4 linked regions of the Xenopus tropicalis genome follow. The protein of the gene in region 2 purifies or fractionates together with the protein of the main gene of each other region. This does not show direct contact. Links are inferred from orthologs where the notes say so. Each region holds a gene or a part of one and is shown on either strand. Other genes may lie near its edges.

Region 1 (8,320 bases), on a different chromosome or scaffold from region 2:
GAGACATGCTTAGTGTGGGCAAATCCGCTACCGCGCAGAGGCAGGCTTAGTGTGGGTAAATCCGCTACCGCGCAGAGACAGGCTTAGTGTGGGCAAATCCGCCACCGCACAGAGACAGGCTTAGTGTGGGCAAATCCGCCACCGCACAGAGACAGGCTTAGTGTGGGCAAATCCGCCACCGCACAGAGACAGGCTTAGTGTGGGCAAATCCGCTACTGCACAGAGACACGCTTAGTGTGGGCAAATCCGCTACTGCACAGAGACACGCTTAGTGTGGGCAAATCCGCCACCGCACAGAGACAGGCTTAGTGTGGGCAAATCCACTACCGCGCAGAGACAGGCTTAGTGTGGGCAAATCCGCTACTGCACAGAGACAGGCTTAGTGTGGGCAAATCCGCTACTGCACAGAGACTGGCAAAGCTCGGGACTGGACAGAGTGGCGTTGGTACCAAGGAGTCTGGCAGTTTCCATGCACTGCTATTAATAGCCAATCTCAATGACCTTCAGCGCCAGTCCTCCCCGGCCAATCTCTGCTGCTGCTGGCCGGCCCAATCCAGTCTGATTATACAGCAGGGACAGCGCCAAGGGCTGAGGCTGGGCATCGGACGTTTAAAGCAACATTGTTATTATAAGAGTATCTGAGCCCCAATACACCGCCTGTTTAGTAAATATCAGTAGTTGGTCCAATAAAGAGCCCCTGGGGCAATAAGGCCTGGGTACTGGAGCATCTCCCAGTGGGCCCAAGCACTAGTGGATCCCAGATGTGGACAATTCCCATTCATTCTTATTTTGGCCTTCAGGTCCAAACTCTTCAGGGTGACTATGGTAACAAACATGGGATCTACCAACTTGGGCAGATTCCCATTAAAGTTCAAAGATCACACAGCTAAAGCAGCCTGTAGCCAATGAGAGCAGTGGAATATAGCCACGAGCCAATCAGAATATTCTCAAGGGCAGACCAACTAGCAGCCAATCGCAGAGCAAGAGTGTTTCAGGGTGAGATACAATGTAGCAGTTGAATGGTTACAGCTATGGGCCAATCAGCTGGCGGGGTGCCCCGGGGGTGCAGTACGGATACAGACACTTACCTGCTTCCCAGACACCACCATGGCGATGCAGCCCAGGATGGTCATTAGGATCATGAGGTAGGAGACCTTCACCCGCACCTTGCTCTTAGCCATCTCCACCATGTCGTACCTGGGGCGGGGCATAAAGGCACCACGTCATGGCCGCTCTGTGCCCTGAAACACCTTAAATACACCCCCTGCCACAGCAATGACATATTGGCCCCACCCACTGACACAGTTCCCGCCTCCCAGTAAGTGGGGGGTGGGAGTTAATTACACACTTACTTGCCCTTGAAAAGCCAACCCCCCTCAAGCCTCTCTCTAGCCCCGCCCACAGCGCAGGTGATATACTCACGTCACAAGTTCAGGTATATCCTCTTGTTTTTTAAAGCGACCGCCCCACACCAGAATCTTCTTTTCAAAGTCGGTGGGTCTGTGTCCTGGTACCTTGAATGTAACCCCTGAATGGAAAGAAGTTATTTTAAGTTACAGTTCTAGGATCTATATCCCAGTGCCCAGAACATTCCCTCTCTGTATATTTGTATTTATACATATGGGTAGGGGGTGCCATAGTGTTTCCCTTAGACAGTACAGTATGGGGGTACAGCTTATTGTGTGCCCAGAACATTCCCTCTCTGTATATTTGTATTTATACATATGGGTAGGGGGTGCCATAGTGTTTCCCTTAGACAGTACAGTATGGGGGTACAGCTTATTGTGTGCCCAGAACATTCCCTCTCTGTATATTTGTATTTATACATATGGGTAGGAGGTGCCATAGTGTTTCCCTTAGACAGTACAGTATGGGGGTACAGCTTATTGTGTGCCCAGAACATTCCTTCTCTGTATATTTGTATTTATACATATGGGTAGGAGGTGCCATAGTGTTTCCCTTAGACAGTACAGTATGGGGGTACAGCTTATTGTGTGCCCAGAACATTCCCTCCCTGTATATTTGTATTTATACATATGGGTAGGAGGTGCCATAGTGTTTCCCTTAGACAGTACAGTATGGGGGTACAGCTTATTGTGTGCCCAGAACATTCCTTCTCTGTATATTTGTATTTATACATATGGGTAGGGGGTGCCATAGTGTTTCCCTTAGACAGTACAGTATAGGGGTACAGCTTATTGTGTGCCCAGAACATTCCTTCTCTGTATAGAGACAGCGCCCCCCGCAGGACAGTATCAAGAGCAACAAAAATGAGACCAGGCAACTTACCAGGCTCTTTGGGCTTCACCTCTTGGGGTTTGCTGCACAGCCATCTCGGGATCCCCAACGTCCGTGTTGGCAGAGGGTTGTGAGTGGGCACAGAGCCTCCTCTCAGCACAGTCACTCGCTCTGAGCAGAAGGTTTGAGTTAGTGAGACTTACTGCCACCCCCGGGCACCTACCCAGCAAACTGGGGTACATGTAATAATGACCCTGTGTACCTGCCCCCTCTCTGCCAGCATTAGTTTATACCCCACCCCCAGGGCTGCCAGGTCAGTATTTCCCCTTTTTAAACACATAAACCATATTTAACCTCTCGGGTGCCACCCCAACATTGGGTCACTGTGGCCCCTTAAAACACTGCCATCCCCCCCATAATTCGACACTGAAGATTCTCATTAAAGGAGACTGACAATGCGCCTAGTGAATCCGACGGCCCATTCCCACGGCCGGCACCTTGTTATGACAGTCAGTGAATGGGGGGATTGTTCTGTGGCTCCCAGAGCTGACTCGGGGCCAATTCCAGCCATTCAGAGGCCTCAATACCAGACTGGCGCTCTGTTGATTCAGGGGAACGTGGCACGGTGCCAGGCTGGGAACTTATCCGCTACATTCCTGGCACTGTGGCCCCGCTCCAACTCCCTGCATCTCCAATAGGGGAGAGCGGCCATGGGGCCCCAGCAGGGAAGGCTTCTGGTACAGGGGATCTGGGGGCTTCCTGGCAGCAACCAAAGGGGAAGGAAGAGATGGTTGAGTAACAGGTACTTGGGCTTAAACATACACCTGCCCCCCCCCCAATCACTGACCCACAACAGCCCAAAAGTAAATACTGCCCCCCCATTCTCTCCTGTATTGGGTCTGATCCTAAGCCCTTTACCATTGTATGCCCCAGGCCAACCCACTGTGATGATGTCAGACTAACAAGGCCTGTAGTACCCAGTACCCTGGCTGGGGGGGGGCTGTAGTACCCAGTACCCTGGCTGGGGGGGGCCTGTAGTACCCAGTACCCTGGCTGGGGGGGGGGGCTGTAGTACCCAGTACCCTGGCTGGGGGGGGCCTGTAGTACCCAGTACCCTGGCTGGGGGGGGGGGCTGTAGTACCCAGTACCCTGGCTGGGGGGGGGGGGGGCTGTAGTACCCAGTACCCTGGCTGGGGGGGGGGCCTGTAGTACCCAGTACCCTGGCTGGGGGGGGGGGCCTGTAGTACCCAGTACCCTGGCTGGGGGGGGGGGGCTGTAGTACCCAGTACCCTGGCTGGGGGGGGGGGGGCTGTAGTACCCAGTACCCTGGCTGGGGGGGGGGGGCTGTAGTACCCAGTACCCTGGCTGGGGGGGGGGGGCTGTAGTACCCAGTACCCTGGCTGGGGGGGGGCCTGTAGTACCCAGTACCCTGGCTGGGGGGGGGGGGCTGTAGTACCCAGTACCCTGGCTGGGGGGGGGGGGGCTGTAGTACCCAGTACCCTGGCTGGGGGGGGGGGGCCTGTAGTACCCAGTACCCTGGCTGGGGGGGGGGGGGCCTGTAGTACCCAGTACCCTGGCTGGGGGGGGGGGGCCTGTAGTACCCAGTACCCTGGCTGGGGGGGGGGGGGCCTGTAGTACCCAGTACCCTGGCTGGGGGGCTGTAGTACCCAGTACCCTGGCTGGGGGGGGCTGTAGTACCCTGGCTGGGGGGGGGCTGTAGTACCCTGGCTGGGGGGGGGGCTGTAGTACCCTGGCTGGGGGGGCTGTAGTACCCTGGCTGGGGGGGGGGCTGTAGTACCCTGGCTGGGGGGGGGCTGTAGTACCCTGGCTGGGGGGGGGCTGTAGTACCCTGGCTGGGGGGGGCTGTAGTACCCTGGCTGGGGGGGGGCTGTAGTACCCTGGCTGGGGGGGGCTGTAGTACCCTGGCTGGGGGGGCTGTAGTACCCTGGCTGGGGGGGGGCTGTAGTACCCTGGCTGGGGGGGGCTGTAGTACCCTGGCTGGGGGGGGCTGTAGTACCCTGGCTAGGGGGGGGCTGTAGTACCCTGGCTGGGGGGGCTGTAGTACCCTGGCTGGGGGGGGGGCTGTAGTACCCAGTACCCTGGCTGGGGGGGGCTGTAGTACCCAGTACCCTGGCTGGGGGGGGGGGGCTGTAGTACCCTGGCTGGGGGGGGGGGCTGTAGTACCCAGTACCCTGGCTGGGGGGGGGGGCTGTAGTACCCTGGCTGGGGGGGGGGCTGTAGTACCCAGTACCCTGGCTGGGGGGGGGCCTGTAGTACCCAGTACCCTGGCTGGGGGGGGGGGGCCTGTAGTACCCAGTACCCTGGCTGGGGGGGGGGGCCTGTAGTACCCAGTACCCTGGCTGGGGGGGGGGGCTGTAGTACCCTGGCTGGGGGGGGGGGGTGTAGTACCCTGGCGGGGGGGGGGGGGCTGTAGTACCCTGGCTGGGGGGGGGGGGGCTGTAGTACCCTGGCTGGGGGGGGGGGGGCTGTAGTACCCTGGCTGGGGGGGGGGGGGGGGCTGTAGTACCCTGGCTGGGGGGGGGGGTAGGTATAAATCCTGGCAGTGGCCCTAGAGCTGTAAGGGGCCCAGACAGACATTAAAGGGGGCGGGACCTTGCAGGCAGAGAGCACAGTTCGGGAAGGACATGGCCGTGTGTATTATTCCCCGGGAGGTGAAACACTAATATACATGATGACTTTATTACATGCCACCTTCCCTGATTCCGCACAGCTCTGGGGGTGTAACAGAGAGGGGATATCCGTTATACACAGCCCCAGAGCAACGCCACTTTCCTTCCCTCAGAGATAACGGTAACCCTCCCTGCTCCCATGATCCTCCCCGGCACCACTTCAGTCTACCAGCAAACCCACGTGTTACCCACCGACCAATGAGCGCAGCCCGCTCCTCCTCAGCGCTGCTCCCCACATCCTCAAGGCAAGAGGCAGCCGCTCTCTGTCAGCGGGCCCGGAGTCACGTGTTGTTATAGGCACGCCCGCGTCCGCAGACAACCAATACGCTTGCAGAGGCGGGATATATTGTGTAATTGCGTGGAACGCAACGTGCGTGCCAAATGTATTTCCGGGGTGCTTATTGTAGCTGTCCGTGTCAGGGCCGTACTGCCCCCTCTGATAGTTACACTCAGTTACAGTGCGCAGAACACGGTGCAGGGAGATGGCTTTCCGAGCTGTATTTCCTTGTGATTAATCCAGTATTCTCTGCCCCCTAGTGGTGAGAGCTGGCAGGGAGCACCCCTGGTACAAGCATAGATACAACCAATAGCTATAACATTGCCAGCCTATAAGCAATGCCCTGCCCAACCCCGGGCACTTTAGCAACTTACTGACAGTTATAGGTATATACCATGACAGGATCTTTTACATTTGGGTATGTTCATACACATGGATCTTATTGGGTCCCAGCTGATCCACTTCAAATGGAGACTTTCCTCTGCTTTCTTGGAGCAGTAGTGGGGCAGATATGGGGCAGTAGTGGGGCAGATATGGGGCAGATATGGGGCATCAACTCACTTGGGTGAATGAAAGGATTAGGGTTACTTGGGCTGGATGGGTAAACTGAGCAATATGGACGCTGTGTGTGTGGCTAGTGTTGGCCTGTGTGTGGCTAGTGTTGGCCTGTGTGTGGCTAGTGTTGGCCTGTGTGTGGCTAGTGTTGGCCTGTGTGTGGCTAGTGTTGGCCTGTGTGTGGCTAGTGTTGGCCTGTGTGTGTGGCTAGTGTTGGCCTGTGTGTGGCTAGTGTTGGCCTGTGTGTGGCTAGTGTTGGCCTGTGTGTGGCTAGTGTTGGCCTGTGTGTGTGGCTAGTGTTGGCCTGTGTGTGGCTAGTGTTGGCCTGTGTGTGTGGCTAGTGTTGGCCTGTGTGTGGCTAGTGTTGGCCTGTGTGTGGCTAGTGTTGGCCTGTGTGTGGCTAGTGTTGGCCTGTGTGTGGCTAGTGTTGGCCTGTGGTTGTGTGGCTAGTGTTGGCCTGTGTGTGGCTAGTGTTGGCCTGTGTGTGGCTAGTGTTGGCCTGTGTGTGGCTAGTGTTGGCCTGTGTGTGGCTAGTGTTGGCCTGTGTGTGTGGCTAGTGTTGGCCTGTGTGTGTGGCTAGTGTTGGCCTGTGTGTGGCTAGTGTTGGCCTGTGTGTGTGGCTAGTGTTGGCCTGTGTGTGTGTGGCTAGTGTTGGCCTGTGTGTGTGGCAAGTGTTGGCCTGTGTGGCTATCATTGGCCTGTGTGGCTATGACACAGGGGAGAGCCGGAGGAAGCAGCGAGGAGTGGGCCATAGTATGAGGACACTGGGGAAGGACCACCAATGTTTTAGGGGGCCCTGGGCTGGCTACCAATGTTTTAGGGGGGCTATGGCCACCAATGTTTTAGGGGGCCCTGGCTACCAATGTCTGTGTGTCCTTTGTACTCATGGGAGGGGTTACTGGGGGAGGGGCCATGTGGCATGGGTGGAGGAGGGGCCATGTGGCATGGGGGGGGGGGGCAGAACATTTTGTTGTGAGGGGCCCGTGATTTCTGATGGTGGCCCTGGGTATAAGCTGTATTTATAGTCCCACAAAGAGACTAACAGAAATCTGGGGTGCAGTACTCACACTCAGTGCCACCCCTCCGGTGCACCTGGAAGTACCTATATTGTACGTGTGTACAGGGCGGGCAGCGGGGCCCCTCTGGGGGGTGTGGGGGACCCTGGGGTGGTCCCTGCACCCCCCAGTCTGACCCTGTCAGGTACAATGTATTGGTTTTGGCCCCTCCCTACAGCAGACTTCCCATAGGGACACCTGTTTGGGTGCTGGTTACAGTGGGTGCAGGTAGAACACAGGGTGACGGGCTGGGGGTTCTACTCCCCTTGGGCCAATGCCAGACGGGGCTGATTCTCAGCCTGTGGGTAAATGCCAACAAACAGCCCCTATGGGCATCAGCCTTTCCCTGTATTTGCCCCGAGAGCCATTGTGTGTGCCCTGTGTGTGCCCAACCCACCGCCATGGCTCCAGGGGCAACTTCAGGGAAAGACTGATGCCCATTAGCCATATAGTTACCCCACTGGGTTTAGGCAGGGATTATTAACCAATGGGCTGGGCCTTAAAAATGGGGCTTTTTGCTGTTCCCTTTGGGTCTTCACTATACCCCCCCCCCCCCCCCCTCTATTTTATTTCAAATACAGTAAATAAGTATTTCCACTTGGCCACAACATGTTGTTGTTTGGGCCCCAAAGGCTTGCAATTCACTGAGATCTGATTGGCTCACTGTCTGCACCAATCCGGTCGGCTGGCAGCACCCAGGGATCAGGGATAGAGGGGCCCAAGCAATGGGTCGGGGAGGGTGCTGGGAGTCAGGCTGATGGGAGTTTCAGTTTAACCCTTTATATACTGGAACCCTTTCCACTCACTGTACAGCACTGTGACCCTATAGGAATAAGTACGTTCCGGGTTCCCCTGAGTTGTACCGTGACACCCCAATAACATTCACCCACACGGCTCCCCGCTAACTCCCGGCACCTTCCAATCAGGCCCCTCCCCAGGCAGCCTATCGGGAGGCCGGGACTGGGGGGGCGGGGCCTTCCGGCTTTTCCAATATGGCGGCGCCCAGCGGAGACGGGAGCTGCGAAGACTTCACTGAGTTTCAGGTGAGGGCAAAGTTTCCCGCCGCGCCAGGGGGAGTCCGGGCAGGTAGAGCGGGGCCGGGGTAATAGTGCGGGGCCGGGGCAATAGTGCGGGGTAATAGTGCGGGGTAATAGTGCGGGAAGGAGAGAGAGGGGAAACTGTGCGGTCATTGAAACGACCCCTGCTTGGGTTTCTCTGTGGGACCTGAGGTGCCCGGGGGGCTGGGAGTTGGGAAGGCACACAGGGGGATCATGGGAAGGCACACAGGGGGATCACGGGAAGGCACACAGGGGGGTCACGGGAAGGCACACAGGGGGATCATGGGGGACAGGAGGCACACAGGGGATGGCGGGAAGGCACACAGGGGGTCACGGGAAGGCACACAGGGGGGTCACCGGGAAGGCACACAGGGGGATCACGGGAAGGCACACAGGGGGGCTGGGAGTTTGGGAAGGCACACAGGGGGATCACGGGAAGGCACACAG
Region 2 (7,816 bases):
GCCCCCAAGTCAGGAATTCAAAAATAACTACCTGGTTTGGGGGCACTGAGAGGGTTGGCGAGCAACATGTTGCTCACGAGCCACTGGTTGGGGATCACTGCATTACACCTTCCACCCCCCCACTCCACATATGCAGGAGCACCTCATATTACCACATATCTTGTTCCACATCTTTATTTTTCACTCCTGGATCACAGTAAAGTGAAGAGCCAAACTTAAAACAAAAAGTCCTCTTTCTCACTCTACCTCACATGTAATGATCTAAGGCTTAAAAGAATAGAGAGAGAAAGCTGACTTTTTGTTTTAAGTTTGTCTCTTCACTTTACTGTCCAGGAGTGAAAAATGAAGATGTGGAACAAGATGTGTGGTGATATGTTGTGCTCCTGTATATGTGGGGTGGGGGGTGGAAGGTGTCTCACACAGTGCCAACTGTGTTTTGAACATGCTATGCTCTCTCTTTGGGAAAGTTCATGAGGGGGAATGTTTAGTTTACCTAGGAAATTGTTAACAGTTTTGCATATTCTGTGCAAAGATTTTTTTATTTACAAGGTTATGATTATCGCAAGTCACATCGTAGTTTACTTATATTACTTGGAGTTCTCCTGCAACCCGCTTTGAATGAGAATTTGTGTGTGTGTTTAGTTCCACTTCTGTAACTAGATTTGGTGCTCTAATTACCAAAAAGTAAAAATGTTATATATTTCATAATATATTTATGAAACATTTTATGCATGAAAATACAACTGATTTGGAAAGCCTCCTGCCTACTAAATTTGCCAGTACCAAACATGTAGATTATCGAGATTTCTGATTTCAACACACCCAGCACCCATGACATCTAACCACCCATATGCCATCAAGTACATGGGTAGAAACTAAATATGAATGCTAGGAAACTTCTTTGATGCCCAATATGCATAGGATTGCCTAATTATGTGGCATGTATAAATCTCACAATTTACTGCATTTTATGTAGTCATAATCCATAAACATATACTTCATATATCCTTATGTATCCTATGTACCAAAATAAAATGTCTGAGATATAAAAGCCAGGCTTCTTCAGAACAATTTGATGACTAATTTTCATAGCAATACCGATATATTAGTGTAAGCCATATAAAGACCTCAGTATGAAAATATTGCTTATACATTTCCACATTTTCAAGGGCAAAAATAATTAATCCACAGCAATACACAATACAATAAACTAACCTAAATTCAATAAAACTAATTTTTAAGCGCCCCCCTCAGTAATTTTGCACATGCATGTGACATAAGTTTTGGGTGTGCATGGTAATCTACGTATGCCAAATGCCACTGTCTCGGCTTGTAGCTGGGCCCCTCTTCCACTGCATTTTGCCTCTGTTTATGATGCCTTGCCTTTAACTCTTTTTGCTTTAAGGTGCCAGTAGATTAATAAGAAACCCTGAAGTTTAGAGTCCGTGGTGTTTGCAACCTGAAACTTTTGAGTTGTAGATTCTATGTTGACCATTTAACAAAGGGTTGGACCATGGTTCATTAATCCTTTACCTTTTATTTATCCTAGTCAGGATGTTTTGAATATGACACCAGGCTCCAACTCATTCAGCTGTCCTGTGCTGTATAAGTTCATATTTGTTAGTGTTAAAGTGATACTGACACTAAAAATCTACTCTTCAAAATATAAATGTACATAAAAAGTTCCCTATAGGTCATGTAGATCATTTTTCCCTGATAGGACTGCTTCTGTAAGTAATTGTTGTCTGAAGTTCCTAAATTTGGCAACCTGACTGTCCCTTCTCAACCTGTCCGTTATAGCTTCTAATGCTAACGGACTAATGCTGCACAAAGATGGCAGCCCCCTCATAGACCAGATAGGTAATGTAAAAGCTTTGAACAAATGCCTTTATGTCAAAGTTATAAAGAACATGCAAAGACAGTGTTATGACCAGTTTTTCAGTTGTCCTTATTTCTTTAAGGGTTGCAATTTTGTTTTATTATTTTTAAGTCTGCAAAATCTTTTTTTATGTCTCTAGGCACAATGGCTGTCCCACCATCCTATGCTGATCTTGGTAAATCTGCCAGAGATATATTCAACAAAGGATATGGTAAGTCCCAAATCAGTCTTGTCTCGAGACACGTGGTAGTAAAGTGCATGTCATAAAACAGTAAAGATATGGGATTACTTATCCGTAATGCTTGGGACCTGGGTTTTTCTGTAATTTGGATCACAACACTTAAAGGGGGAACTATACCCCCAGAAAGGATACTTAACCAATACATAAATTATATTATATTGGCCTGTGGCCTGTAAAGAAAACTTACCAAACTTAAATATATAAATATACATGCATGTATGGGATCCATTATCTGGAAACCTGCTATCTAGAAAGCTCAAAATTATGGAAAAACTGTTTAAAACTGATGCAAAATATGCATAGAGCCATAATAGCCCACATTTTACTCCTTAAAACAATGCATACTTCTGATGCATTTGGGTGTCAGAAATACCTTCTAAGAGCATTGCGTCTGTGGCTGACAAAGCAAAATAAATATTTTTCAGAGAACAGTTTTTGAATTTCCAACACTAATTCCATATTTGCAAGGGGCCCTTGCTTCCCCTGGGCCTTCCCTATTCACCTGTATCATTTTCTGACACAAGCTTTAAGAACAGGAAAGTTGTGATTGACACTATCCTTGGGGGGTGGCGCAAAGTATCAGCCTACTAGAGAAAAGTCCTCCTGTCCCCCAAGGCAAAACAGCTTTGACAAAGCTCGGCCTGACCAAGTGAAACATGTGTCAGGTGCTTTTAGCCGGTGGTAGATAGGCAGGGCGCCGTGAACTCATTTGTTGTTGATGGGTGATTTGGGGGATGGGTGTTGCTGGGATGGGTGGTTGTGGGCTGGATGACCTGGATAGCGGGGCAAGCTGTGGATCACTTGGGGCCTTCCCCACTAGTATAGCTTTCTGAGGACTGTGGTGTACCTTGCAAATCTGGGATTAAGGCTGGTCACCTTTATCTTTATAGTTATATGTATAGTTTTATTATATATTAGATTTAAAAAGTTATTTATTATATATTTATATTATATTAAAAAGTTACTCTTGATTCTACTTGTTTTTAGAGCAAATGTGGGACAAAAATTAATTTAATTAACATTTTCTTTACTTAATAAATGCAGTCTAAAAAAACCCCATCTGATTATTTTCCTTTAGCCACTCTGTGCATGCTACAAGTCAAGAACATTCTGTGCCCTTTTGTTTAAGGGGCAACTAGCTTGTCACATTATATGTAACGTAAAGATGGCCTGCTCTGGTAGATTTAAGCTGTCAAAGTAAACTTGGGGATATCCATCTTTCAGCTACTTTTAGTGGTTTATTTCCTGTTCTCCATAAAGACCCAAGGTCATGGGATTGTAAAATATACAAGCACACTGTTGGATATTTCAGTCAATAATGGTGTCTTTTCTACTAAAAAGAGTGGGGTTGATTTGAGTGGAGGCTGAACAGGGGTTTCTTTTTATTTCAGCGGTTGTTAATTTTATGTATGTACTTACTATGCCTTTTTATAGCATAGCTTGCTGCTAACTTACCATGAACTATTATGACTAACCGCTCCCAAAATTCACGACACCTAAGCCATTTCTCTGTTTGCTATACTCCTTTTACAATAGTCTAGTTCCCAGCAAGATTCCTGCCTGACTCTAATGGTAGCCCTGTCAGTTACAGTGTGTATGTTAAACGGGTTATAAAGTCAAAAATTATAATTTTTCTGTTATTTGAACCGAATGAAATAAATATTTATAATTAGAATCACTTGTTTTTTACTTCTCATTGTTACCAAGCCCTTTTGTCACAGCTGCTCTAAACCTCCACGGCCAGTGGCTGTCTGTTTCTCCTACTCATCCTGACTGCCATTAGACTGAATGAGGGTGTGTATGTTTACTCTGCACATAAGGTGCGCCCATTGCTAACACAAGAATGCTTTAAAGGCAAAGTAACACTAAAAAAATTTTAGTAAAAAATCTATTACTGCACCGATAATTGCTCTATCCTGCAAAACACTTAGTATTTTGAATGCTTTATTAGATAATACCTTCTAAAACTTTGCTTCCGGTCATTTGAAATAAGGCGATACAGCGAAGGAAGGAGCAGCATTCACTATGCGACGATCGATTGATCGAGCCTAGCCTGAATCGTTCCTATACAGAAGGAAGGCTAGGCTCAATCAATCGATCATCGCATAGTGGATGCTGCTCCTTCCTTCACTGTATCGCCTTATTGCAAATGACCGGAAGCCAGGTTTTAGCAGGTATTTTCTAATAAAGCATTCAAAATATTAAATGGTTTGCAGAATAGGGCAATTATTGGGGCAGGGTAGAATAGATGTTTTACTTAAAAAATTTTAGTGTTACTTTTCCTTTAACAAATCAGGATTACATGTACTAAAAATCCTGTTGTAAAGACGAGCTATAATCCTGTGCACCAGACCAAAAAAAATTGTGGTTTGTTTAAAAAAAGCATCATTAGCCACACTGTAGATAAGGTGATGTCAAGGCAAATGCTGTAATAGAGCCTTTCTGCAGAGAGAAAAAAACATTCCCACTCATCATTTGGCTCAAGACAATGAGGAGAACGGTGCTCCATTTAGGTGTGTTTAAAAGCTATTTTAACTGCTTTGCCATAAAAAAAAAAAAAAAAATCTTATTAAAACGTGTGTCAGAGTCCTTTCCTATGTCAGGCTTATCTATAAATGCAGCATGTACAATTTGACTTTAGATCTCCTTTAAATACTGTTCATATAGGAGTATGTGTTGTAGTAATGCATTAAAATCTTTGCATTGAAAGTTATGGTCTTGTTGCTTGTCAGTAATCTCATTACTTTGTTTTTGTTTTGTTTTTTAATAAGGTTTTGGACTGGTGAAACTCGATGTTAAGACCAAATCTGCAACTGGAGTGGTGAGTTCATCTGTAAAGTCTTTATTGTTTTTCCACCGTGTCTACTTTTGTAAGGCTGTATACCGTAACTATTTCCTTAAAACACTGTTTCTTTAAAATATGTTCTTGGATTTCTTTAAAAAATATCCAGGGCTACAGTTAAAGGCCTATTTATCAAACTGTAAACAAACAAAAAAGCAAATATACCACACAGCCACACTTTTTTGCATGTGCGAATTAGTTATTAAATCTCTTGGTACAAGCTTGTCCTAGATAAGATTTTTTTTCATCATCTTTTGCATTAACTGGGTTACTTGGGCTAATGGTTACATACATGCACATGAACTGCTATAATAAAATATTATAGCAAAAAAAAAAAGCGTTTTAATTTTTTGCAAAGTGAGGTAGTGGTAGATGTTGTTTAATCTGCAGATTTTATACCACGGCAAGTGAGAATAGCATCAAGATCAATAAAGCTCATTGCCTAACTTTTTTTTTTTTTTACCAGGAATTCGCAACATCTGGTTCCTCAAACACAGACTCGGGCAAAGTAAATGGCAGCCTAGAAACTAAATACAAATGGGGAGAATATGGATTAACCTTCACAGAGAAGTGGAATACAGACAACACTTTGGGGACAGAAATTGCCATTGAAGACCAGGTGAGTGCACTACAGGTTTTAGTAACAGTCTGTTTTTGTTATGTGTTTCCTATTTCACACCAAACATTTCACACTAATAATGAATCCAGAGAACCCTAACTATTCAATTGATTGTAAAGTAATACAAAGAGGAAGTTTAGAATTGCTCTTTTAATTAAAAAGGGGTTTAAAGGAGACATATAGTATAAATTGGAAAACCCTAATTTTGTAGGCAATTAGGATTAATGTTTAGCCCAAAGGGAAACCAGCACCGGATATTATTCATATCTGTAACAATGGCCCCTTTATTGGAGCTCCCTATAGATCCTATCTCTTCTCTGACCATGTTTGAAATGAAGAGTGGGCGTGTCCTAACGGTCCCTGCCAGAAGCACAGTAGGAGGGGGAGAGCCAATCACAGCCCTGCACTCACACAAGCACAGACAGGCTTTAGTTCCCTATCAGGTCAGCCTAGTTGCTGATTGGTTCCTATCCTACAGTGCAGTGTACAGAGGGCCGTCGGCTCCCCAGCTCATCCAGAGAATTCAGCCAGCAGGAAGTGGCACAGATGGGCGGGGCTAGTGGGGGTTTGGGGGAATTTCTCAATAAATTAGTCTGAAACACAACTTTTTTAAGCACAATCCTTCTATATCTAGAGGAGTATAATTTCCTGGTACATTCTTAATTTTTATAAGATATGTCTCCTTTAAAAGTGTGGGCGAGGCTTTTAAAATAAGCACAGAATTAATTTAAAAAAAAAATCCGTATTGCACACTCTACCAAACCAATATTAACAGTTGTTTCATAGGTAATCCTACGATCACTCCTACAATGAAAATCCCTCTAGACCAGGGCATTTAAGCATAAAACCTTTAATCAAAGTTCTACAAAAAAAAAAAACTTGTAAATGATATGGAGATGTGCTTTTAGACCCACTTCCACTTCCTTTGAAGATTGTATTTGTATATATAATATATAACAGGAGAAGAGTGGAACCGTACTCACAGGTCTTGTGAACAAAAAAAAAAAAAAGGTTTATTAAAGATGGACTAACGTTTCAGCTAGCAGTAAATATAATATATACATATAATAAAACAAACCATTAAAAAACACAAAGAAAAAAAAACAAATAGCGAGTAAAGAAAAGTATTGCAAGCAAAAAGTTACACGTATACAACACAGAATGACCACATAATCAGTTATTAGTAGAAACTATGTTTATAGACACTATAGTATACGTGGAGCCTATTAAGAGTTAGGAAACTCATCCAAATATTTTGAAGTATGTATAAGTCAACACAACACGATTGACATAATTGAAACAGCTAACATGTTTCCCTCTTCTTAATAAGATCAGTTCTGTTAAGTATATATCTTTATATACAAATGGTACTTACATTAATCTAAATTTTCAGAGGGATATTTGAGCTGTGTAGAGCAAGCTAGAGTCCCCGAGGAAAGTCGTAGAAGTCGGTTATGCACTTAGTGCAGTAAGCTACATAGGTTGTCATACCGATTGAGTGATCAGTGCATTACAGCACACGCTCTTGGTACGGGGCATCACACAGGGTTGTCATAGTAACTTGGAATCAACTGTCTAACTACAAGGGAGAGTAGTAATAGCTATGGGGTTATAATGGCAGGTTACGATAAACTTAGAATGGAACTTCCTTGTGCGGTAGTGGTTATGTGTATGTGGCTTTACTTATAAAGAATGTGTAGTGCAAATGCAAACAGAGGAAGCTTTGATTAGAAAAGATGGAAAAAGGTGAAGATTAAATAGAGGAAAGAACTGAAACGAGCGAGTGCCAGGCTGCAGTTAAGGTTAGGAACAGAGGATCTCCTATTTAAATCTGATAATCAAAGTATGAAGTGTGACCAGTAGCAAACGAAAATACATTATACAGGCCTGCTGTGTGCGTTGATAAACTGAAAGATCTCAAGTCAAGCTTGGGCAAATGTTGGAACGGCCACCGTTGTATTTGGGTATATGGTGTTATGGTTAGTACATAACTTACACTGTATAGAGGTATAACACACAACCTGTCCAATAATGCGTCAACAATGTTCTTAAAATGTAATATTTGGTTTTAATAATATACCTGTGATGCTTAATGTAAAATGGTCAAAAACCAATATTAATCAAGTTACTCGTTAGCAGTGCAGTATATCAAAGCAGGGAGCATACTGTTCCTTGATGGTACCAAATGTGGTAACTACCAGATACGTAATACAAGAAACCGGTGCTTGTATTACG
Region 3 (8,496 bases), on a different chromosome or scaffold from region 2:
AAAATAATGGAAACACTAGCAAGTGAACTGGGTACACCGCAGATAGTAGACCCAATAACTTGCCTATTAGGAGTCATAGATGGAATAATATGCACTAACGTGGCCAGAGTCAGACTGCGTACGCTCATGTTCTACGCCAAAAAAACAATAATTATGCACTGGATGGGAGACACCCTCCCCTCCCAAACATTCTGGAGAAGGCTGGTGGATGGAGCTCTCCCCCTTATCAAATTAACCTATGAAACAAGGGGTGCTTATGACAAGTTTGACAAGATCTGGGAAAATTGGTATAATCAAGACAATCTGGACACATAACCTACCCCTTCACACTAAATGTGACTGATCCGACAGAACTAAACACACTCACCTACACTGTGATAACTACAACGCCTAGTAATAGCACCCTTGACTGTATTGGCCTAAACCTGACTCGACACCATTTCAATCTTAATGTCAATATATTATACACTGTTTTGTATTTTTGTTTTGTGATGTTGTAAAACCAATAAAAAATTTACCTATAAAAAAAAGGTGTGAAAAACACAGGGGATTACATTTTTCAACAATACAGAGGGATTACAGCCTGAATCTGAGGTGAGAACCATGCAAGGGGCCAGTTAATCTCAGTACTGATACCATTTAATGCTTACTCAAAGGTAAGCCATCAAAGCAGCCAGACAGGTGGGGGGCCACACAGAGGGGGGTCGAAGGCCACATGCGGCCCGCGGGCCGCCAGTTGGACAGCACTGCTCTAGCTGCCTATTTCTGCCTAAATCACCCTGGCATTATTTCCTTAGAAACAAAAGAAGCAATATGTTAACCTTAAGCATCTGATCAATACAAATTCCCTAAAGATATTCATGTATAAAAACTGAGTATTACAGAGGTGCCTGAGCCACGAGAGAGACGAAAACACATTTGAACACATTTAACAAAATCACTGAAGGCTGATCTTTTACCCAAGGACTGTGTGCCACCTTCAAAAGATTTTTTTAAAGCCCCCAGAAGTGTTCTATACATTGTATTTCACTAGGATAGAGTACAGAATATAATCACTGTTTCATCTAGACTGAATAACAGTTTCCATTTTTCAATGGCAAAACCTTTGGCATGATAATGCATGACTGTAAGTTCTTAAGGCAATAAATATTAACTGAAAGGTGTCAGAGAGAAGCTGTAATCACTCACAATGTATGGCAATGAGAAAATGCAAGCAGCATATTAACAGCATTAAAGGGGTAGTTCACCTTTTTATTTATTTAGTTATTTAAAGAATGTCTGCATCTTTCCAGCTTCCAAATTAAAATGCTATCTGGCTAATGGGGGTCATTGACCCCTGCAAAAAGATAAATAAAACAAAAACACTGTTGTCATGTAAGGCTACAGTTTTATTATTGTTAATTTCAATGACTTTTCTTTCCATTCTTTTTCCAGACTGATATTCAAATAATGCATGGCTGCTGCTAGACTCAATAAAAACCCTAGGAATCAAATAAAGGGGTAAAATGTTAAACTAGAGAACTGCTTAAAAAAGGTATATTACTCAAAAACTACAAAACAACAAAACAAAAGCTTAAAACCAAATGCTAATTATCTCAGAACGTCACTGTACTAAAACTAGTGAGGAAAAAAATATTTAACAACCACGCCAAAAGTAAATCTTATTCTGATATATGCAAGTGTAGCAGGATATACTGACACCATGTATCAATCACCCAGGGAAGGAAAAACATCAAACCATTATACAGCACATTAACATGAAGAAAAAAGGTGAAAGTGTGATTAGAGCCAATAGGGATATAATAATGCCACAAGTCATTTGTATATAGAAAAAGAAGACTAGTTAAGTGTAAGGTATTAATAAGGGGAGCAGTCTCTTGCTGGGGTACATTTGTTTGATGTTCGTTTGAGACTCATCTTTGAGCACACCTAAACACATTTTCTACTTGATTCCATTATATTTTGCCTGGTTGAACGCACGAGCGTTCAGAATTGCGTTTCACCCAAAAAATTTTTTAACATGATGCATTTTCTAGCTATTGACGTGCATTCATAATTCACTAGAATAGAGGGTTGTTTGGAACCAACAAAAACACACAGGTGCGTTTAAAAAAAACACATATAAACCCAATATATGTGGGTTTTTTTGCACTCAGCATGCATTTGCAAACACGCAAAAAACACTTGTGAGTATGAGCCCTTACAAAATACAACAGACTTACTATAGGGACTGTTTATAGTGGTTTTTATGGATATTTAAAAAAAAAAAAAAAAAAAAAAAAAAAAAATATTTTATATATATATATATATATATATATATATATATATATATATATATATATATATATATATATATTCTTTAAATAGGAAATGCTAACTACCCTACTTGCCAAAGGGCAGAGAAGTGGAGAATAAACAAGAGATAGACAAGCACTTCAAAAGGTGAAAATAATGTCCAATAAAAGGTAAATTAATATATAAAATTGCATTAAAGAATAATAAGGACCACCCTGTTTATTCTGTGTTCAGACATTATGGCATCTGAATAATGCAAACAAAAATATTAGTTGGCAGTTAACAGTGATAGGAGTGAGGTTAGCAATTACAAAATGAATGAGGAAGTAATAAGGGAAAAAACATTTAGGAAGGGCTGAAGAGGAAGGTGAGCGGATACCATCAGGGGTATGAAGAGGGTAGCGTATTTGCAAATTGTTGGAGAAAGAGGAAGAGCAGATGACAGAGAAATAGAAGAGGGAACATGAGGACTTGGAAAGGCAGCTGAGAAACTGGAAAAGGTACACAGATTCCACAATGTTGCATAATGAAGAACAGAAAGTGGGAAGGGGTAATGAAAGGATTACACAGGTGGGCTGGGCTTAGAAATGGGTAAAAAAAGAAAGATGAAATAATCACTGTTATACAGCAGGTGAATCGTCAGCCTCAATAACACACTGGGTAATTATCAACCTGATTTCTAGCAATCATGCAATAAATGCATAAAACAGGGTGCATTCTAGCTGGCTAGCAGGGACACAGATAAACAGGGCAAGTGAGCTCATTAAGGCTTGTGGCCTTATAGATTAACAGCCCTGAAATAGGGGTGACACACAATAATGAGCCACTGTGGGGTTGTATACTGTATGTTTTATAAATACTGGGTAATACTATAGTGGAATGGCGAGGAAGGAGACTGATAAGTGATGATGATGAGGGACATTTAGCAATAAAGTGTTGCAGACACATAACGCTGAGAGAAGGGAGGAGTAAAGGGGACACTATTAAACATGTGAACAAAAGCTGAAGCCTGAAAGGGTGGGGATCAAAAAAGGAGAATAGAAACAAAGTATATCTTCATTACTGCTGTGGCTGCTACTGGGCTACTGCTCCAAATATCCCCCCCCCAAGGGCTCAAGCAAGGGTGGTTCCTGTCAAGCAACAGAGTGAAGATCCCTGATTCCCACAGCTGGGGAGCCACAGGCAGGGGCCACGGCTGCCATCGGAAACCCACCTTACCTTTTGGTTTAGAACACTGGCCTCCCCTAATACACCGAAGCATAACAAAATATAGAACGGTCTCATCAATGGCGAGGGCCCCCATGGATGAACCACCTATGCCCCCACGGATGTACCCCCTATCCCCCCACGGATGTACCCCCTATCCCCCCACGGATGTACCCCCTATCCCCCCACCACGGATGTACCACCTATCCCCCACGGATGTACCACCTATCCCCCACGGATGTACCACCTATCCCCCACGGATGTACCACCTATGCCCCACGGATGTACCACCTATGCCCCACGGATGTACCACCTATGCCCCACGGATGTACCACCTATGCCCCACGGATGTACCACCTATCCCCCACGGATGTACCACCTATCCCCCACGGATGTACCACCTATCCCCCACGGATGTACCACCTATCCCCCACGGATGTACCACCTATGCCCCACGGATGTTCCACCTATGCCCCACGGATGTTCCACCTATGCCCCACGGATGTTCCACCTATGCCCCACGGATGTTCCACCTATCCCCCACGGATGTACCACCTATGCCCCACGGATGTTCCACCTATGCCCCACGGATGTACCACCTATCCCCCACGGATGTACCACCTATGCCCCACGGATGCCTTGGGAGGGACCGTCCCGGTGCCAGCCCAGCTGCCGTTGTATTATCTCACTCAGCATCCCCGACATGATGCCATTCGCCTTTAGGCCCAGCAGCACAATCAGGGCTACCTGCCGGGGGAAGGGTGGGTGCCTTTCGAACACTACCATAATGGTGTTGCCCAGGCCTCGCTATCAGGCCTCCGCTAGTGTCGGGCGCTGGGTTGAATTAAGCCCCCCGACTAGGTGCCCCCTGCCCAAACCCCCAGTGCCCCTCTCACCTGCTACGGGTGGGTTGTTGTGGCGTCTGGATGTCCCGGGCCGGTCAGATACTATACGCCGGGCCCGCTGCTTGTCTCCGCTTCCTACCCCTGCCAACCCTTCTCTTCCCAACGGAAGTGACACCCTGTCATGGGGCGCCTGACGTCAACGCCTCCTCCTAATTACCTATTGGCTAAAACGGAACGGGGCGTGAAGAAGGAAGGGAGTAAAAGGAAAAACACCACGTGATTTGCTGTGTCACCGCCTTGCCGCCATATTACCTGGGGACTTGAGATGTCGGGAAGGCAGTATAAAAGACCACTTTGCCTCACAAAAACAATAACAGAAGAAAACGTGCTTTTTGTCAAACATATGTTGTTATGTTCATACTGTGTTCAGCGTTTTATTTCCATGAGAAACAATTTATTGCTGGACTATTGTGCAACTTGGCAGCACAATCCATTTACTTTGAATAGCAGTTTCATATTTCTGATTGTAAGTGGGGCATCGTTATTACTGGCCTACTGGCACATTGTTCCCTCCTGAAGTGGCTTGGGGCATGCTATCACCCCTCCTCACTAATGGTGGCCAATACAAAGGCTGATTCTAGCTGCCGATATCGGTTTCTTTAGACGGATTCAGGGTCGGAGTGGGGGTGCAGGGTCCACCAGGGCTACTGCCCCAAGGGCCCCCACGAGTCTTCTGTACCCCCACAGGGGACCCCGCCCGACATCCTCCCCTGATCGTGCGTAACTACAACGCCATACCTCCCAACTGTCCCGCTTTACCCGGGACAGTCCCATACCTCCCAACATTTGAAAAATGAAAAGAGGGACAAAAAGATTCCGTGCGTGCAGCATGGCAATTTTTGACCACGCCCACTTTTGTGGCCACGACCCAATTGCCACACCCCATCCATTTTTTTTTCAAAAAATTCTCCTTTTATATAGTAGAAATGGCGGGATCAGACGCAAATGTGCTATTCCCTCATACTGTACTACCTAAGGAAAACAATATAGCAACTCCTACATATAAAATACAAATATAGAGAGAAGGCAGTCAGTTATAAGTGAGTTATAACTATGTACCAGTTTGCCCCCCCATACACAGTGCCCCCAATAGCCTAAAAGACAGTACTACCCATACACAGTGCCCCCATACACAATGCCCCCCATAGAAAGTGCCCCCCATACACAGTGCCCCCAATTGAGACAGTCCCCCCATACACAGTGCCCCCAATTGAGACAGTGCCCCCCCTACACAGTGCCCCCAATTGAGACAGTCCCACCCCATACACAGTGCCCCCAACTGAGACAGTCCCACCCCATACACAGTGCCCCCAATTGAGACAGTGCCCCCCATACACAGTGCCCCCAATTGAGACAGTCCCACCCCATACACAGTGCCCCCAATTGAGACAGTCCCACCCCATACACAGTGCCCCCAATTGAGACAGTCCCACCCCATACACAGTACCCCCAATTGAGACAGTCCCACCCCATACACAGTGCCCCCAATTGAGACAGTCCCCCCCATACACTGTGCCCCCAATAGAGACAGCCCCCCCATACACAGTGCCCCCAATAGAAACAGCCCCCCCTATACACAGTGCCCCCAATAGAGACAGCCCCCCCATACACAGTGCCCCCAATTGAGACAGTCCCCCCCATACACTGTGCCCCCAATAGAGACAGCCCCCCCATACACAGTGCCCCCAATAGAGACAGCCCCCCCATACACAGTGCCCCCTATAGAGACAGCCCCCCCCATACACAGTGCCCCCAATTGAGACAGTCCCACCCCATACACAGTGCCCCCAATAGAGACAGCCCCCTCCCCCCGCATACACAGCGTTCCCTTCTTCTTCGTACCCAGCGGCTCCTCAGTGTATGCGGCTCCTTCTGCGGCGGTCCCAGGCCCTTTTATAAGGTTGCGCCCGTGCGTAATGACGTCACACGTACACACCGGGCGCAACTTATAAAAGGGCCAGGGACCGCCGGAGAAGGAGCCGCATACACTGAGGAGCCGCTGGGGAAGAAGGAGCGCCAACGCATCGCGCTGTCCTGGGTAAGTCAATGAATGTTCCGCATTTCCTAATTTATTACGGAAATGCGGGACATTCATGGAACTATCAGGGACAGCGGGATGCGCTCTAAAAACCGGGACTGTCCCGCGGAAAGCGGGACAGTTGGGGGGTATGCAGTCCCAATTTTGCGTCTCTTTCCCGCTGTCCCGGACAGCCACCGATTTGTCCCGATTTTAAAATTTTCCCGTGACGTCACACGCGTCGTTTGTTAGCGTCGCAGCTTCTGCGCCGCACAGGTCAGTTCTAACATTTAGGGATTCACTGTGCAGAAGCTGCGGGGCTAACGAAAGATGCGTGTGACGTCATGGGGAGGAGAAGAAGAGCCAGGGCACAGCCGCGGCAAGCGGGCAGGGGGTGGTAGGAGCAGTAGGAGACGCAGAATGCAGGGGGACGCTGGAGGAAGGTAAGGGACAGCTGGAGGATGCTGGGAGGCAGCTGGAGGAAGGTAAGGGGCAGCTGGAGGACACTGGGAGGCAGCTGGAGAAAGGTAAGGGGCAGCTGAGGGACGCTGGGGAGGATTTTGGGTGGATGCTGGGGGGAGCTGGAGGATTTTGGGTTCTTGCTGGGGGGAGTTGAAGGATGTTGGGGAGGACACTGGGGGGAGCTGGAGGATGTTGGGTGGATGCTGGGGGGAGCTGGAGGGAGCTGGCTAGCTATGTCTTTCATGAGTCATGATATACAGGTGCCACAGTGCATAATAAAATCCTTGGGTCCACAATATGTCATAAAATGATTGGGGCGACTGTGTCTGTCTTCTGGTGCGCTTTTGTGTATTTTATACTTTTCGCGTGTGGTTTTGTAAAATGGGCCTGTTGGGGGGGGCGTGGCCTAAAAATTTAGCCCCGATACGAGCGCCACATATTTTTGTCCCTCTTTCTGCTTTTCAAATGTTGGGGGTATGCAACGCGTTAGGGGAGGGACACCAGCGGAGCGGCGACAGGCAACAGGTCTGAGCCGCCGGGGCCCACCAGGTTTTTTCCCGGTGCCCCAGCAGCCAAGTCTGACCCTGGATAGATTCGGCAGCTTATCTGCCCGTGTATGAGCATGAATGACGGGCCTGCCCAACCGGCATCTGGCCTGAAATCGTCCAGACCTTGATCAGGCAGGTTTGATTTTTCTGTCAGATCGGGGACCGCATTGGCTTATTGATGTGGTCATTGAACCGAGAGTGTCTATACCCGCAGTTCTAATTTGATCGTTTCAAATTACCCCAATATCGCCCACCCGTAGGTGGGGATATTGGGAGAAGATTTGCTAGCTTGACAACCTCACCAAGCAAGCAGATCTTACCATGTATGGCCACCTTAATTTATGTGTCATGAAAAAATGGCAACATTTTTTTCGCCATTTATCTTGTCACCGTCATGTTAAAGTCAATAGGAGTTTATCCTAGGCAAATTGTAACAATCTTTATTTAATTTGTGGTTTTAGAAGTTAGGTTTAGTTTTAGTGTTTTTTCATTTTCGTTCCGCATTTTAATTCATTTGTGCTTTTTATATTCGGTTCTTTTAATAAATGCCTAGATGTTTGTAGTTTTAGTGGAAATGGGTTAATGTGTGGTTTCAAAAACCTCTACAACCACAAAAATCATATGATAAATGTTGATAAATGGACCTACAAGTATCAGCAACCAAATGCTGGGAATTACAGTGCGTCACTTCCCTTTGTCTACAGTGAAAAGTGTCCTGAGAAGCCCAGGGCCCAGTCAAAGCAATCCACAGAGCTCTGTAAACATACACCATGAACCATAGCATTAGGGTGATCTGATTGATTGCTTGAAACATACTTTTTATTCCATTTTCATGGTCAACTACTATAAGCTATTTTAAGTGGGCTGGCACTGCATATAGTGCAAATATTACTTTTTCCAATATTGTACAATAACGCACCCCATCCACACTTGCTATACTTCAGGATAAAGTTCACCTTTCAAACATTTGCTACCATTTTCATAATTAGTTCTATAGGTTATTTATTGTCTCCAGGTAGAATTGCATTAGGCCAATTTCTGACTGCTGTGTTCCAAGAAAGAC
Region 4 (8,251 bases), on a different chromosome or scaffold from region 2:
AAATTTAAATCACTTGTATAAACAGCACACACATGTGGAAAAAGGCTTCTTTGCCTTCAGTATATGATTATTTTTAGCATCTTCCCAAGTGTGAGAAATACGTCCTTATGGCAAATCTTTACTTTCTTTTGTTCTTCTTCTGATGGATATTTGCAGGCTTTTAGCCAACTGTAGCAGTCCCACTGGAGTTACTACAACTCCCACCACCCTTGGCAAGACTGGACACAGGACTGCTGTTCTAAGCAATTCTTTTATTCCCAGGTTCTCACATGAGCACTTTGCTCCGATGAGATGAACTGGTCTAAAGCTGAATAAAAGAGTGTCCTTATTTATATTTATCTCAAAAAATTTCCACATAAAGTTGTATATAGACCCTGTCCTTCTCACAACACTCTGTCCTTTTATTTGTGAGGTATTTTATTCACTACTAGGATTCTAGCCCAGCATTTTACAGTTTTACAATCATACCCTCAACTGGTATACAGATCAGGAAGGAGAATATCCTCACCAGTGACACGTCATCCAGGATGAGGCCGAAGGTGGCTGCTCTCTCCATGAGATCCTCGCTCACCTGCCTGGACACCAGCTCTCTCTGTGTGATTAGCTCCCCTGCATCGAACCGGGCCTGGAGCGCAAGTGTTAGAGAATTAAATCAAAGTGACAAACAAAATGATTGCCCAGTGTCTTAAACATCTAGTTTCAAACTGATCCTAATTAATATTTGAATATCTGTCTCAGCACTAGTTAATTTTGCCACTTCAGTATGTGTGATGTATCTTTCATCTTGCTCTCCTATACAGCCAGACACAACACACAGGAAATTAAAACTTTGTATGAAACCGCTGACCCAAGAAGCAGCTATGGCATTCATTCAAATGTTTTTTCCTCTTGAACAGCCTACAAGCAACTTGTGTATAAAAGCAGGGGTGGTTCCAGTCCTATTCAGCTCCATCAGGGAGTAGAGGGCAAAATAAGGATTTGGAGCTCTGGCTGACTATGTGGGTGGGATCACTAACATGTAAACAAACATTTTTTTGATAGGTTAATGGGGCATTATAGTCCCTGACCTCAGGTTCCCACCTATGACTCCTCACTCAACTGGCAAGTAGGTGGTAAAAGGTCAGTAAGGGTTCTCTCTTTATTAGGATTCCCACGTATGGACCACAGGTGGCAAGGGAAGCATGTAGGGCAGTGATACCCCAAACAGTGGCTTGTGAGAAACATGTTGCTCCCCAACTCCTTGGATGTTGCGCTCAGTGCCCCCAAACCAGGTAGTTATTTTTGAATTCCTGACTTGGTGGCAAGTTTTGGTTGAATAAAAACAAGATTTACTACCAAATAAAGCCCCTGTAAGCTGACAGTGTGCACAGAGGCAAACTAATACATAGTTGCATAGGGTTGAAAAAAAGACCATTGAGTCCATCAAGTTCAACCCTTCCAAGTAAACCCAGCACCCACAACTTACCTATCTATATATACAAACACTAATACTAACTGTAGATATTAGTATCACAATAGCCTTGGATATTCTGCTTGTTCAAGAACTCATCCAGGCCCCGCTATAGGCATTAACAGAATCTGCCATTACCCCATCACTAGGAAGGGCATTCCCCAACCTCACTGCCCTCACCGTGAGGAACCCCCTACGCTGCTTCAAATGGAAGCTCCGTTCCTCTAATCTAAAGGGGGGGTCTCTGGTGTGTTGATCGTTTTTATAGGAAAAAAGAACACCCCTATCTGCCTATAATCCCCTCTAATGTACTTGTACAGAGTAATCATGTCCCGTCGCAAGCGCCTCTTTTCCAGAGAAAACAACTCCAATAGCCAATCTTAGCCCTTATTTGGCACCTCCATGAACTTTTATGTTGCTTGTTTTGCTCTCCAAGTCTTTTTACTTTTGGCTGTGGCTCATGAGTAAGAAAGGTTGGGAACCCTTGACGTAGGGTTTGGGGAACTTGTCCTCTTATGTGGGGGGTGGGGGGAAAATCAGTACATGCTAAAGTGCAGCAGCAGCAAGGGGTCACTGATAACCTAATTTCCTTATCCCACATGGGCTAATCTAGACTTCCACCTGGGAAAATAAGACTTGGGATCCCAATGGAACTGTGCAATATTTATTAATTCTTGCCCTCACTTACTACCCCACTCCCACCGTGGCATAAGAAAGTACAATTTAGACCTAGGTAGAAAGTAAGCCTCTGGTTGTTTCTCCCATATATCTATATTGTATTCATTAATATAGTGCCACAAAAGTATGAAGTGCTTTACAAGGTATAAACACAAACAGGGGAATAGTTATTATAAACTATAGTTATAAATCAGGCAATACAAATACTTAACATTGTTTAAGTAGATGTTCAATACACAGTTGGGAACACCCAGAAAGTCTGCAAACTTTTTGGCATTCATATGCATGCAAGTCATTTAAATGTCCATTTTCATTTATATTTCTACCAGTAACGCTAGCTTCTTGCAATCCTTGCCTTCCAATGGCACGAGCAGCTGCAGTGCTCTAAAGAGAACTATTGTGCAGAGCCGTATTTACCAAATAGGCACCTGAGGGCCTGTGCCTAGGGCAGCAGCTTCCCATTAATCCTAGGATCTCATATTGTATAGCATGTGATCAATAACCTTTATAAAAAAAAAAAAAAAAAAAGATACAGAAGACAACATAGTCCCTCATCCCACTTACCACTACAGATTTTAGGATCTCAGTAGTAATGGAGGGCAGGACTCTCTCATCATAATCTTCTCCAATACTGGTGAAGATTCGCGGCAGCTGATTACCCATTGGCCGGAAAAGGATACGCAGTGTAATGTTGACGTTCTGTAGATCTGGAAAAATAAATGAGTAGGTCGTTGGTATAGACTTTATTTTAAACATAAAGAAAATTTGCATCACCACAACATTTTGCAATAACCAAAGCTTTAACTATGTACCAATATCACAAATCATAGGCTAGATGTTACAAGTGGGTCCAAGCCTAAAAGGCAAGCACCATTTCTCTCCTAATAGGTCATTTTTTTTTTTAACTGACCCTGAAAAGAGTGGAAAAAGCTTGGTGCCACTTACCTTTGCTCCCTGTAACAACAGGTACGTTGCGAGGACGTGAGCGACAGTCGAAAATGATGGGTTTCTGGACCCAAGGAATAAGGAAATGGGTTCCCTCGCCCACTACTGTTTCCTGTACTCCTCGGAACCTATCAAAGATGACTGCCTGGTGTCCAGCATCCACTTAAAGAGAGGAAAGAAAGGGGCGTTATGACTGATGACAAACAAATAATTAAAGCAATAGGAGAAGGATTGCACTGAAGTGAACTGGAGCTTTGAATAAAAGGCAGAACAAATTAACAAAGGAGAAGGTATTAAAAGAAAAGTATAACTTTTGCTTAATTATCTATAAATAAGTTAATTATATGAGCATAGCTATTTTCCACAGGGAGTGTGATCCATGCATCTGTTTATGCATAAGTGGCTGCTGCAATACTTGCTCCTGATAGGCAGAAAAATAATCAATACATTGGTGGCCAATTTATCATGAATATAGTATTGAGCACATTTATATCTAGGCCTTCAGAATAAAATGTAAGCGGGAAGGGACAGTTATGTACATTGAGCTATTTACCATTATATAGTGCAGAGTTCACAACCCCTCCAGCGACAGCCAGTCCTAGGCCAAGTTTCCCAATAGTCTCAAACAGTCGTGCTGCCATTGGTCCTGCGGGTTAAATCAAAACTAGACAAAAAAAAAGTAAGAGTAAGAATTACAACAGGTATAACCACCAGTACATCAGTGATATGTAGAACCCTTACTTTTATATAAGAAACCACCACCTAATTCACTTTGTCTTTTCTCACCATCTACACACTGCATTGTTTCCCAATCATTCCCCAGAACTCGGGGAGTAAATCATTTATTAAGTTATAAGCTCTGTTGAGCAGGGTCCTGCTTACCTCCTTTTTTGGTCAGTATTTGTACACAAACTCTGTTTTTATACATATAAAGCTTCAGAATAGCTTTGCGCTTTAGAAATACAGTTAACTAGAATAGCAATTATGCTACTAATTTTAATTAGTATTCTACTGTATAACAACCTGTTTTGGGTTCTGACCCACAGGTTAATGAAAACATTTTAATAAATGGGTATTTACTCAGGGCATACAGAGACTGGAGGCCCTTATTCACACCTGTAATCTGCTATACCAAGACTCAAGAATCCCCCCTCATTTTAATGAGCTAGATGCAGTTTGCTTTAACATTCAATTATAACAATGTTCCTATGGGATCTTTGTAATAAAACACTGATATTTGTTATTACAATTTTCATTGGCTGTTGTTCAAGGGTGGGGTACCTTAATCATGCCTACTTCAGTAAGCACAGACCATTTTTTTCTTCTTCCCTATGTCCAAGTTCATCAGTATATGGAAACCACTATGGTGTGGGGGCCCAACTATCACAACTTTACCCTGGGCCCATTGCCCCTTAAAGCAGTCCTGTGGTTAATTATGAGTTGCAGAACAAGAAGTTACTAAATAAAATAATTTTGTTGAACCTTGGGGACAAGATATTTTTCATAGACATATACTGAATTACTTATCAGCTTGTGTCCCAGTAGCTCCTGCCCCCCTGCAGTCATAGGGTCTCCTTCCTATAGTTACTGCAACAATTAACCTACTGCAGAGGTGTAGCTACAAAGGAGGCAGACCCTGAGGTTGCAGGGACACTAGCCAATAAGCAGCTATATGTACTGCCAAAGTAGTGGGGGGTCTAAAATGATTTTTTTTTAGTAATGCCAATGGCATATCTTCACACACTGAACACTTTTCTTCCCTGCCTTAGAAGATACAATGACCTCTAGATTGTGATACTTGTCTGTAGTTGGACTGAAAGTTCCCAGCATGCCTTGAGAGCCACAGATGCGCCACACTGACAGCTTTAGAGATCTATATGTTAAGGATCATCGTTCTAGCGACCTCACACTAATGTACTTTTTTATTTCTATTCTCTCTATACCTGATACACAGCTAATTATGCCCCCTACTCACCTCCTTACGTTCTGACCTCCACATGAAACACGCTTCCGGATCACGCATGCGCAATCTTCCCCTTTCAGCGCTATAACGTTATTCGCTGCTCGGCATCGCGTTGCATTATGGTACTTGTAGTTCCAGGGTTTGCTTTCCCTTACGCGTACTATATGCTTGTAGACTACACCTCCCATAGTAGCTTGGGCTGACGTGACAACCCATTGGCGGTCTTGACTGTCATGCGAAAAGGGGAGGTGAAATGCAGTGTCAAGGGCGGTCTAAATTAACTCTATCCTCAGCCTGATGAAACCATTAGCGAACCATTTTATTTCTCTGCATGCCTGGAGTTTAGCCTTTAGTAGGGGAGGACAGGGTGGACCCCTTCAGTGTACGTGAATAGTTCCAGCTAACTAGATAACTCCTGTTGCTCTCTGTATCTAAGAACACTAAATATAATTACTCCTTCCTCATGCTCCATTTTTCTACTTTGTACAGGATTCTGTTCTAATAACCCCCCTGCCTGTGTCCACTTTGGTTTAGCAAGCCTTTTAAATCCAATGGTGTCAGACTGAACCATCTCTTCACACAGGGGGATCTTACTGTAGCATTGGAATATACATATGCAGAATATATAAACTTCCTGAAACCTGCAGCACAGCAATACCTGATAACTGATTTCCCTCATACTTAATATTTTATCTATGGTCTCCATTACCCATACTGTGTATGGTGGCCATTGGGGCGACAGCCCTGGTGGGTGCTGCACACCCCAGTCCGACCCTGTGTAAGGCCAAGGTCACACGGGGAGTTTTTACATTGCGTTTTTAAAAACAGATTTGAGCGTAAATACGCACAAAATGAAATACACACTACAGCAATTCCCACGGGGAGCTTGCAAGCTGATATCCGCCACATGACGCCAGTGCTTGCGTTTTTCAGCAGAAACGCCATTACATCAAGGAAACGCCATACCTCTATGGGATCTACATGTGTGGAAATACACTTTGTTGAAATACGCCGCTTATTTTCAATATGGCATCTCTTGCGAGATGTATTGCACATATATGTATTTGCGGCGTTGTATGCTGGTGATGTAATTATGTAGCATCTTGACGATCAGTCCGGCTACATTTTTGCACCTAAATTGCTTTTCAGCTTGGCTTTTGTCCCACAAAAGTTTAATAAAATTCTTCAGAGATGTCTTCCTCCAAGGCTTTTTGTGATACGGAACGTCATTACAAACACGTGTAACAGCAGAAATGTGGGAATGTGGGAAAAAGCTAGAAATGCATGTTGGGAAAACAACACTGCAAGCTGAAAAACGCATTATTATGCTCGTGTTTTTGCTGCCATATTTATACTCAACTACGTGTTAGGGTTAGTAAAAACGCCCCATGTGACCTCACCCCAAGAAGAAAATAGGCATCTCCCACCTATATGTGCATATACTGATATACTGTCTTGTGTGGCAAACGAAACCACCCCAGCCATGTGATGTCAATAGAGGCAAAGTCAAAATATATCAGCAAAGCACAGGGCCAGGAATGTTGAATTATGCCCCACCGATGGCCAAAGCACAGATAGGGTAAAATATGGCCTTGAGCATATGTAATTTAATTCTTCTTCCACTACCCATCTCAGTTACGAGAACAACTGTAGACCTTCTGTACTGTGCCACCGGGGATTCACACACCAGCAGCTATCACTTTTCTGGCTATAAAATGCAGAGCAACACTTCCGGGCTAGCAAGGGCCATCTCCCGCCATTTTGGGTCCTCTTCACTGTGATCAGTGACAAGATGCAGGCTCCTGTGGCAAGACTGCAGTAAAGAAGGCCCAAAGCAGTGTGAAATGGCACTCGCCAACCCAGCTGCCCTACTCTTAGGTTTTTTTAGCCATAGCTTAATAGCTGCTGGAGTGTGAGTCCCTGGTGACTGGCTTCAGGAGGGAGGCCTCTAAAGGGGGCCTAGGGTTGTCCTAAGGGTTTAGTAACATTAGATGTTTAAAAGCTGTTGAGAAAATAAGATATATAATCCAGTTCTGCATCAGTGCCAGATTCCAGGGTGGGCACTCTCGTTTTGAGGCAAACTTCCATCTGGCTGATACAGTTGTTCATAAATACTAGCCCAACAGTGACTGCCAGGCTGAAACACCCAGAATATGATCTCAGGCCTTGCAGCTGTTCTGTACGACAGTTCCCAGATGCACCACTGGGTCCAATTGTTTTAGTCCTGGTGCATTACTACATGTGAAAGCAAAAAGCACCCCCTTGCATAGGAAAAGGATACGTCTCTGAAAGGTGACAGTTCTGGTCTAGTGCTTTCTAGTTCCACGTAGACAATATGAGCCTGCAGATAAGATGGGGCACAAGCAGAATGTATTTGTGCCAGATGCACCTTCCCTCCAGCTCCTAATCACTCCATTTAATGCCTAAAGGTTGCCATACACAGGCCGATAAAAGCTTCTCAAATGGTTTGAGTAGATATATGGCCAACAATTGGGCAGATGTTGATCGGGAAGGTTTCTAAATCCTGTCGGACTGAGGAGGGCATTGGCAAGTTGATGTGGTCCTCATCCCTGCATCCAGTCTATGTGAACCATTGGCCCAAGCGATCGGATCAGTCCAATATCAGCCACCTCAAGGTGAGTATATCGGGGAAGTATCCACTCAATTAGTGACCTCGCCATACGAGCGGATCTTTCTGTGTTTGCCCAGCTTTAGTCTTTCCCAGGTTTTACTTCTGGCTAATGAGCAGAATTGGGTCAGAAAAAGGGGAAATGTAAGGGCCACATTCATTCAGATTGGCTCCTGGGAAGGTTTCTATTCCGACACTCTGTAAGTGTCCCCATCCCATCTTTTAATTTGTGTACCAAAAATCAAATTTAGAGAAAGGTAAAGCAAAAACCATGCAAAAAACAAATTTAACTGAGAGCACAGGGCAAAACCTTGAGCATTTGAATTTAAATTATTACGACTTTCACTAAGGGTCCAGTGAACCTTTGTGCACATAATTCCCACCATATTGCAGCCTATGCCAGGGCAGCCAGTGTCTTTTTATTTCTACCCAGAAATGTGCCCAAAGTGCCCTATTTAGTCTAGCATTTAGTATTAGCATTTAGTATTAGCATTTAGTCTCCGTGCAAATATAGAGAGAATGAGGTGAAAGCTGGCTTGCTGAAGAATCAACCCACAGAGTATTGCTTCAGCCTCCTGTAATGGGC

What was found.
Region 1: the proteins of vdac2 (region 2) and fam162a fractionate together in Homo sapiens (co-fractionation; 3 studies listed by BioGRID and IntAct, with this or other methods). This does not show direct contact. The link is inferred for Xenopus tropicalis from reciprocal best matches to the Homo sapiens genes VDAC2 and FAM162A.
Region 3: the proteins of vdac2 (region 2) and rab7a purify together in Homo sapiens (affinity purification with mass spectrometry; 3 studies listed by BioGRID and IntAct, with this or other methods). This does not show direct contact. The link is inferred for Xenopus tropicalis from reciprocal best matches to the Homo sapiens genes VDAC2 and RAB7A.
Region 4: the proteins of vdac2 (region 2) and phb purify together in Homo sapiens (affinity purification with mass spectrometry; 4 studies listed by BioGRID, with this or other methods). This does not show direct contact. The link is inferred for Xenopus tropicalis from reciprocal best matches to the Homo sapiens genes VDAC2 and PHB1.

What each region holds. Positions count from the first base shown.
Region 1 is NC_030678.2:3,411,721-3,420,040, forward strand, and holds the start of fam162a (protein FAM162A), read right to left. Parts: upstream 5,439-8,320; 5' UTR 5,167-5,438; coding exon 5,121-5,166; intron 2,410-5,120; coding exon 2,290-2,409; intron 1,529-2,289; coding exon 1,423-1,528; intron 1,198-1,422; coding exon 1,089-1,197; intron 1-1,088. Other genes in the region: ccdc58 (coiled-coil domain-containing protein 58), read left to right, coding at 7,808-7,858. UniProt on the Homo sapiens protein: Proposed to be involved in regulation of apoptosis; the exact mechanism may differ between cell types/tissues.
Region 2 is NC_030683.2:54,947,832-54,955,647, reverse strand, and holds part of vdac2 (voltage-dependent anion-selective channel protein 2), read left to right. Parts: intron 1-2,018; 5' UTR 2,019-2,023; coding exon 2,024-2,090; intron 2,091-4,891; coding exon 4,892-4,941; intron 4,942-5,428; coding exon 5,429-5,581; intron 5,582-7,816. UniProt on the Homo sapiens protein: Non-selective voltage-gated ion channel that mediates the transport of anions and cations through the mitochondrion outer membrane and plasma membrane.
Region 3 is NC_030680.2:135,592,562-135,601,057, reverse strand, and holds the start of rab7a (ras-related protein Rab-7a), read right to left. Parts: upstream 4,503-8,496; 5' UTR 4,398-4,502; intron 1-4,397.
Region 4 is NC_030686.2:14,015,146-14,023,396, forward strand, and holds the start of phb (prohibitin), read right to left. Parts: upstream 5,087-8,251; 5' UTR 5,049-5,086; intron 4,972-5,048; exon of another isoform or gene 4,872-4,971; intron 3,738-4,871; 5' UTR 3,715-3,737; coding exon 3,627-3,714; intron 3,236-3,626; coding exon 3,074-3,235; intron 2,836-3,073; coding exon 2,693-2,835; intron 626-2,692; coding exon 509-625; intron 1-508.